Canis lupus familiaris: one gene and its partner. The protein of the gene in region 1 binds, or shares a complex with, the protein of each later gene. Links are inferred from orthologs where the notes say so. Each region holds a gene or a part of one and is shown on either strand. Other genes may lie near its edges.

Region 1 (4,132 bases):
CGGGCCCCGACGTCCGAGTCCCCCGGCCCCGTCCCCTGCACACGCCCCCCCGCCGCCGGCGACCCGGGCGCGGCCCCTAGCGGAGCGTCCCGGGGCAGGGGCAGCGGGCTGGGCTCGGCGGCGCGGCGGCGCGGCGGCTCGGCCCGGGCGGGGGCGGCGCGGGGGGCGGGGGCGAGGCCCGGGAGCGCGCGGGGGAGGGAAGCGGCGCCCGGCCGCGGGGGCAGGGGGAGCGGCAGACGCCGAGGCGAGGGACGCGCGCGGCGGGCGGCGGCTCCGAGCGGCGGCCGGGCGGGGGGCGCTGGAGGCCGGGCCGGCCGGAGGGCATCCCGAGAGCCCCATGAGGTGCCCCCGGGGCCGCGGACGGGGCGCTGTCCTGGGGAGGCTGTCGGGGGGTCCCCGACACCCATGGCTGGGCGGGGGCCGCGGCGGCGCGCTCGGAGTAAGTCGGGGTCGGGGCGGGCGCGGGCGCGGGCGCGGGCGCGGGGGCGGGGGCGGGCGCGGGGGCGGCGTTGGGTTCGGGGCGGCTCCGGGCCTGGCCGGGCCCCGGGCGCGCTGCTCCGTCTCGGTGTCGGTCGGCGGCGCCTCCTCGGAGCCCGGTGGAGCCGCCAGCCCCGTGCCGCTCGGCTCCGTGGCTTTTTTGGAAACTTGCAAATGTTTTCGTAGAGAGAGAGAGAGAGAAGGGGGAGGGGAGGGAGGGAGGGAGCGAGGGAGTGACCGACACGGAGCTCGGGGCTGCTGCAAGAACGGAGGCCAAGGCTGGGGGAGCTGGAGACGGACGGACAGGCCGACAGGCAGAGCGTCCCGGCCGCGGGCGTGCTCCGGCGGCGCGGGCGGGGGCGGGGGCGCGGGCGGGGGCGCGGGCGCGGGCGGGGCCCCGGCCCGGGATGCGGAGAGGGCTCGGGAGGCAGCCGCAGGCACGATGGGGATCCGAGGGGGGCTAAGGGGCACGCGGCTGGCGGCCGGAGCACCGAACGGCTCAGCGTCGTTGCAAAGTTAGGATCGCGTCCCTAAACTGCACGCCCCGAGCGACTCGAAACGCGCCCCCCGCCCCGCCCCGCCCCCTCCCCTCCCCGCCCGGGGCTCGCCGCCGAGCTAAAAATAACAGCCCGGTTCGCCCCCCGCAGACCGCGACCCCAACCCCTCCCCCGACCCCTCCCCCACTGGGCGTGGGGCGAAGCCACAGCTCCCAGTTCCCCAAAAGAAAAAAAAAGAAAGAAAAGGCGGCGCGGGGGGGGGGGGCGGGGGGCGGGCCGGGGGCGGGGGGCCCGGCCATATGGATGTGATTTCTCCGCTCCGAGGCAGACGGGCAGCTCCGCAGCGCTCGGCGCCCGCCCGCCGCCCGCCCGGCCCCCGGCTGCCTCCCTTCCTCCCTCCCTCTCTTTCTCCCTTGCGCTCGCTCGCTCGCTCGCCCTCGGCGCATGGGCCCCGCGCCGGGCCCCGGGGCCTCGGGCCGCCTGGCCTCCGGGGTCCCCTAGGCCCGGGCGTGGGCGGGGCAGCCCGGCCTGACGCAGCTCTGTACCCCACCACCACCACCACCAGGGCCGGCGGCGGCGGCTGCCCCGAGGGACGGGGCCCTAGGCGGTGGCGATGGGGGCCGTCCGGATCGCGCCCGGCCTGGCGCTGCTGCTCTGCTGCCCGGTGCTCAGCTCCGCGTACGCGCTGGTAAGTCCCTCGCCGGCACTCGGGACAGGCTGCGGGCTTGCTCTGCGGTGCCTGGGTGGGTCCAGGGCGCACAGTCTTGGGTTCCCTGGGCAATCTGAACTTTGGAGGAACGGCCCCTCTGACCCCAGATCCCCGGTGCCTGCTGTCTCTGGGGTGTCTGGACTCGGCTCCAGATGGCTCCCATCTCCTTATGGCTGAAGCTTGGGTTTGGGGTCCCAGGTCTGGAACTCTGTGGTTGGGGTTCTTCTATCTTCTGCTTCTGTGAGCTCCACTGCTCTGGTTGTGTCGCCTTCGGGGATGACAGTGTGATCTAGCAGTAGACCTGGCTTTGGCCCTGATCGAGGGTCCCACAGATTTGTTCCAGGGCCTCTGTTTTCTGCAAGTTTTGTTTGCGATCCAGGACACAGGGCTGTGGATCTGAGGTCAGAATCCCCTAGGTTAGGGGTAGGATTTAGGGGTCCCCTCCAGCTCTCGCGATCGCATGCACACACGCAGACGCTCTTGCCCAGGGAGGCGAGTGTGATGTGGCCCAGAGGAAGGATGGAGGTCCTCTGAAGGAGACCACCCTCACAGGACACTCCTCCAGAAGAAACATGCTGGAGGGGGACTCTGGTGAGTGAGGGACCCCCATCCTGAGAGCAGAGACCAAGAGGAGACCAGAGAGAGAGAGAAGAGGCAGGTTGGGAAATAAGCAAGAGAGAGAGAAGAGAGACAAAGGGGGTGGAGATGAGAGCTCCCCAGAGCAGAAGGAGTAGATAGACCAAGAATAGCAGAGAAAAGGAGAGACTGGCAGAGGCTGGGGGTGGGGGGGAGCATCCTCCCCCTTCTGGGCCAGAGATGGGGGGCCGGGACCCGGGGAGTAGTCGGATCCCACAGCAGCCCTGTCTCACAGGACTAGCCCGTTGCTGAGGAGGCTGTCTGCCTGTGTGTCCGGCTCCAAGGCCCCTGCTGCCTCCCCAGTACCTCCCAGGTGGGCATGTGCCTTCTAGAGAAGCAGGCAGGCAGGCAGGCAGGCAGCCACCTTCTCCTGACCAGCTCCCTACCCGGGAAGAACCTTAGGCGGGAAGGCAGGAGCTCTGGGAGTCCTCCAGCCCTGCCTAAGGCCCGCGGGACCTGGGGCTATTCTCCACACCTTCTGCAAAAAACTAGCGAGAAACATTTGCCTGAGAGTCCCCTGATTTAAGTGAGGCTCTCTTCTCCTGGGGTGGGGGGCGGAGGGGGGCCCTCAGCGTGGCAAGACCCATTCTCCGGTGCCCATGCCCTCACGACTCTGGCTCCCCAAAGCCAGAAACCTCACCCCATACGAGAACTTATAGATGGGGAAGTCAAGGCCATTTACAAGAAATAAATGCCAGGACCCGGACCCAATTCCCCACCCTCCCCCTTGGGCCAGGCGTGCCTTCCCCACCACCGTCCCTTCCAGAGTGTGTGCCGAGCCAGCCGCAATCTGCGTGCACATCCCTGGGGTAGACAGGATGATGGACGTGAGGGTGCTGAGAGTCGTTTGTTTGTCAGAGCGGGACCGCTGGGACTCTGGGCAGGCTGTTCTCTAGATCCGGGTGAGCGTGTGGCTGAGTCGTGTGTGAACACATGTGTCCAAAGCTGTGGGTCTGCACATGACTTGCAGGGGCATAGTTGTGCACACGCGTGTGTGTGTGTGTGCATTTGTGAGCACATGTGCACCCAGGTCTAGTTCTTATTTTTCATTTAATCAATGCTTTTTTAGTGCTTTCTACTCGTCAGACACTGTCCTAAGCACTTTACGGTATTAATTAGTTTTAATCTTTCCAACAACCCTAGAAAAAAGGGTTTTGTTACTGTTCCCATTTTTAAAATAATCTGAATCACGAAATCAGTAGGACCATCTTTTTTCACGTGCCAATCTATTGCCAAGCCCCGTGTCTCTATGGGAAGGGGGTAATGGGTGCCCAGAGCCCCACACTGATTTCTGGGGAAGCTGAGGCACATGCAGAGAATTTGCCTGGCTTAGCCCTGGGGCAGGTCTGAGGGCAGGGCAGGAGGGGTGCCATGGCTGGATCTGCTCTGAGACCTTTTGGGGACATCCGTGGCTGGACACTGAGGCCATGGGCCTTCCCTGGTTTTAGGGCTGGAGGATGTGGCTCAATGATCACCCAATCCCCTGTAGGCCCCCTGGGCTCAGCTGGAGCCAGCGAGACACTGCCAGCCTGCCAGCTTCTTCTTTTGAACCCGGAGACTGCCGTTCCCATCCACATCTATGCTGATGCCCACCAAGTCCACTGAACTCAGCTGGTGGCCTCTGTTGCCAGACCTGTGTACTGCCTGCCCAGCCAGCCCCGGGAGCAGGCTCCCGTCTCCAGGGACCTCGGGGCTGGGGGATCAAAAAGCATCCCACCGGGAGGAAAGGGCTGTGGCCAGACTCAGCTGGTCCATTTTGTCCTTACAGAGAATAGTAACTGTGTGCTGGGGGCCAAATGGAGTGAATTTTGAA
Region 2 (4,008 bases), on another chromosome or scaffold:
AGGGGGTCTGCTTCTCCCTCTGCTCCTCCCCATCACTTGTGTACTCTCAAATAAAAAGAAATAAATCTTTAAAAAAAATAAAAAGGAATTACATGAAGCCTGGATAGGACCAGAGCTAAGAAAACTAATCCAATGCTGGAATTTAATTGGAGGCAAGCTGCCTAAATGAATCCTGAATGCATCCAGGGCATTCAAAGGGTTTTGAACTGGAGCAGGCTATAGCAATATTTGAAGTCAAACAGGTGGCAGTACTATGCCTTTGCTAAATTTTAGAGCAGGTTCTTAATTATCATCAGGGGAACCTGAAAGTCAAGACCCAACCCCTGGGCAAAGAGGCTGGTAAAGGCTTGTAAAGACTGGAATGCAAAGAAGAGCTACTTTTCTAGGGAGAAACTAAGATGGTAAGAATCAGAATGGCTCCAGAGTTATAAAGACTTTGATTGAATTCCATCTTCTCCACTTTCCAATCCTTAGTTTCCTCATGTGAAATTTGGGCTAATAACTATTTAAAGGATGACTGTGAAGATGTCATGGGATAATACACATAAAATCTGGCAGATAGTGCTTAGCAAGTGTTTTCCTGCAAATTAAAATGCATACATGAAATTTAAGTTAAATGAATTTTAAAGTAATTTCACATCTAAACCCTTAGAATTAATTACATACAAAAAACATTTTCTCAAAATACTTTTAACACTTCCTTTAAGAAAAGCACTGTGTCTACTTTTTTGGAAAGATGACCAGGAGTAATATGGTTTGACTGAAAATGGCTTACAAAGTAGGAATAACATAATGTGATTATTTATAATCCCCACAGTAATTATACCAATAGTGTAGTTATGACCAATGCACTTATTTTCAGATTTTACTTTCAAATAACTTTGCCATATATCTTTGAAATCAGTCTTTCTTATAATATAAATTCATTAATCCACTCAGAATTACAATTCAGTATTTGTTAGACATCTTTGCATAAACTCTTTTCCGAGGTCCACACTGTTTTCCTTCTAATATCCAATTATTTAAAATTTAAGAGGAATGGGCACCGCCCAGTGAGGGTGTGTGTGTGTGACTTTGAGCCTATAGTTACAAACCAGAGAATTGGGAGTGACATCATCTATGACAATAGAAAAGCTTCTCTTGGTAAGTGGAAGACCTATATATAAAAGTCACACTTGAGAGTCTACAGTCAAATTCATCAGCTTTCACAAGTTTACTCAACTTCGAAAAAGCATCAGCTGCCGATACACCTGAAAGATCTTGTCACAAGACATTGTGTGGTGAGTAATCTTTAGTTTCTCTTTTAAATTGCATCTGAGATTTTTTCATAATTGAATAATTATATAATGTGTACTATTTTCTACAAGTATCATGCTGTTTGTTCAAGGTAAATTATTAAGGGAGAGTTTGAATGCTGTTTAATATAAAATGCCACAATACAAAAGGAATTTATGCTGCTCCACTGCCCTTAAATCATTAGTTTTGGTGATTCAAGTCTTTCGAAATGCCTTGCTTTTTCTAGATTCATCTGAAATTACACAAAAAAATAATTAAAATTGTGCATGATAAGCTCTAATGGTCTCTTACTGAAATTTAAAAAAAAACAGCTTAGTGATGAATGAGTAATTCTAATTTAAATAACCAGTACAAATTTATTAAGTTGTGTTAAAATTCATTTTTCCTGCAGAATATCCTTATCCAGACTGTTTTATGACTCATATAAAACTCAAATCTATATATTATAGTTGGTGAAATTCAGTTTTACTGCTGAATGTTTATTCCCTTTACATAAAGCCTTTCCAAATTTGCTATTCTGAAAACTACATAGATTTTAAGGGTGTTTTACAACTGCTTTTTTTGCTTTTTCATGGCATTCTTATAAGAAGCTCTTCTCTCTACTAAGAACAAGGAAGCCAAGGAGAGATGTCTTAAGTCACTGGGTGACTCTGACAAAGCTAGGACTAAATACCAATGCTTCTCTTCTCCAGCTACAGTGCCTCTTCCTGACATAAACCAACATCGAAGCATCTTCATCTGTTTCTTCATCAGTAGCTTTATATTGCAGAGTGGGAAAAAAATGTAGTAGATTATAATGTTTCTTATGTGACTTCTAAGTGGTGCTGCTTCCCTTTAAAATATGAGTACACAGCCATTCTGTGTGTTAAAATGGAGAACGTGAAGCATTAAGAAAAAGCACTACTGTAATAATAGGCTTTGCAATTACTGAAATGCAGATTAAGGTAAGACTATTCTATTCTGAGATGAAAGCATTATGAGCAAAAGAGAAAAGTGCTAACAATTATACTCAAACAAGACTGTTAATAAAATAAGCCAATAAGATAAACAAGCATTCCATATGGAGCCAAGGCTCTAAATCTGTAAACAAGCAATTAATTAGGTGATTTTAAAATACTTCGACACATTCTTTTTAATGATAGGAGAAATGTGCATTAATTCATTAAAAATCTGTATATTAGAGCCTATTAAGTTGGTATTTATGGATATTATTGCAGGGCCTGAAATGAAGTTGACTTGTGAAAAAAGAAATTTGCTAAGTAAATAAACAGCATTAGTAATTTACCTGGTTAAGAGAATTAACCATTTTCAAGCAAATTATAAGCACTTAATCAGAACCAACATAAAATGTGGAAGGAAATTCTAAAAAGTAAGCCTCTTCATTACTCATGTGGCTTAAAATTCATATATTAAAATTTGTACAAAATTCAAAAAGTTGGGGATCCTTGGGTGGCTCAGCGGTTTGGCACCTGCCTTTGGCCCAGGGCGTGATCCTGGAGTCCCGGGATCGAGTCCCACATCAGGCTCCCAGCATGGAGCTTGCTTCTCCCTCTGCCTGTGTCTCTGCCTCTCTTTCTCTCTCTGATATATATAAACAAAATCTTTAAAAAAAAAAAAAACTCAAAATGTTGCTTAAGAAAGTAAAACTAATTTCTAAGGCAAATTATGTGCATATGTTAATATATATACACAGTAATATATACACTAGTGTATATTATTAATATATAATATATTACAGATATATAATATACTAAATAAAAGAGGTTGATTTTTTTTAAAAGCTCTTATTTATTCCTTCATGAGAGACACAAAGAAAGGCAGAGACACAGGCAGAGGGAGAGGGCCCAATGTGGGACTCGATCCTGGGACTCCAGGATCACACCCTGAGCCAAAGGCAGACACTCAACTGCTGAGCCACCCAGGTGTCCCAAAAGGCTGATTTTACAAGTCTTTTGTGAAAACCAATTCAATTAGTTGTTGTAACACTCTGTGTAGTTGTGTGGTTGTAATGGTAACTACTATAAATTTAACTGTACAGTTTAGCGTATTAAAAATATCTTTAAATATTTTCATTTTGTTTTTCCTTTCAGTGAAGATGATGTCTGCAAAAGACATGGTTAAAGTAATGATTGTCATGTTTGCAATTTGTTTTCTTGCAAAGTCAGATGGGAAACCTGTTAAGTAAGTATGGTACCCTGTTCTGCATGGTGAGGGCATGGGAATTGGATTTTAAGGTTGGCTTTATGATTGGGAAGAAGAGAGTTAATGGAGTGGTCCTCCCTGTTTCTATTCCCTCCAGGAAGAGATCTGTGAGTGAAATACAGTTTATGCATAACCTGGGCAAACATCTGAGCTCCATGGAGAGGGTGGAATGGCTACGGAAGAAGCTCCAGGATGTACACAACTTTGTTGCCCTTGGAGCTCCAATAGCTCACAGAGATGGTAGTTCCCAGAGGCCCCTAAAAAAGGAAGACAATGTCCTAGTTGAGAGCTATCAAAAAAGTCTTGGAGAAGCCGACAAAGCTGATGTGGATGTATTAACTAAAGCTAAATCCCAGTGACGATACATCAGGGCACTGCTGTAGACAGCATAGGGCAACAACATTACAAGCTGCTAACATTTTCAAGCTCTTAAGATTAATAAATGCCAAAATTTACATGTAATCCATTGTTAGCCATGATAGCTGAAATTTTAATTGATTGTTTTGATTC

What was found. The genes of interacting proteins can lie anywhere in the genome.
Region 2: the proteins of PTH1R (region 1) and PTH are in contact, whole or in part, in a cryo-EM structure (PDB 9JR3), measured with the Homo sapiens proteins. The link is inferred for Canis lupus familiaris from reciprocal best matches to the Homo sapiens genes PTH1R and PTH. Residues at the interface, in NP_000307.1 of Homo sapiens: Val31, Met32, Thr33, Lys34, Glu35, Gln37, Ile38, Leu41, Glu111, Trp112, Asp113, His114, Ile115, Ile135, Tyr136, Asp137, Phe138, Arg146, Arg162, Thr163, Ala165, Tyr167, Val171, Leu174, Thr175, Glu177, Glu180, Arg181, Phe184, Leu187; in NP_000306.1 of Homo sapiens: Ser32, Val33, Ser34, Glu35, Ile36, Gln37, Leu38, Met39, His40, Asn41, Leu42, Gly43, Lys44, His45, Leu46, Asn47, Glu50, Arg51, Val52, Glu53, Trp54, Leu55, Arg56, Lys58, Leu59, Asp61, Val62, His63, Asn64, Phe65.

Annotation. Positions count from the first base shown.
Region 1 is NC_049241.1:42,328,084-42,332,215, reverse strand, and holds the start of PTH1R (parathyroid hormone/parathyroid hormone-related peptide receptor precursor), read left to right. Parts: upstream 1-1,323; 5' UTR 1,324-1,587; coding exon 1,588-1,662; intron 1,663-4,132.
Region 2 is NC_049242.1:37,024,118-37,028,125, reverse strand, and holds the start of PTH (parathyroid hormone precursor), read left to right. Parts: upstream 1-1,206; 5' UTR 1,207-1,280; intron 1,281-3,386; 5' UTR 3,387-3,391; coding exon 3,392-3,477; intron 3,478-3,595; coding exon 3,596-3,857; 3' UTR 3,858-4,008. UniProt on the Homo sapiens protein: Parathyroid hormone elevates calcium level by dissolving the salts in bone and preventing their renal excretion. Acts by binding to its receptor, PTH1R, activating G protein-coupled receptor signaling.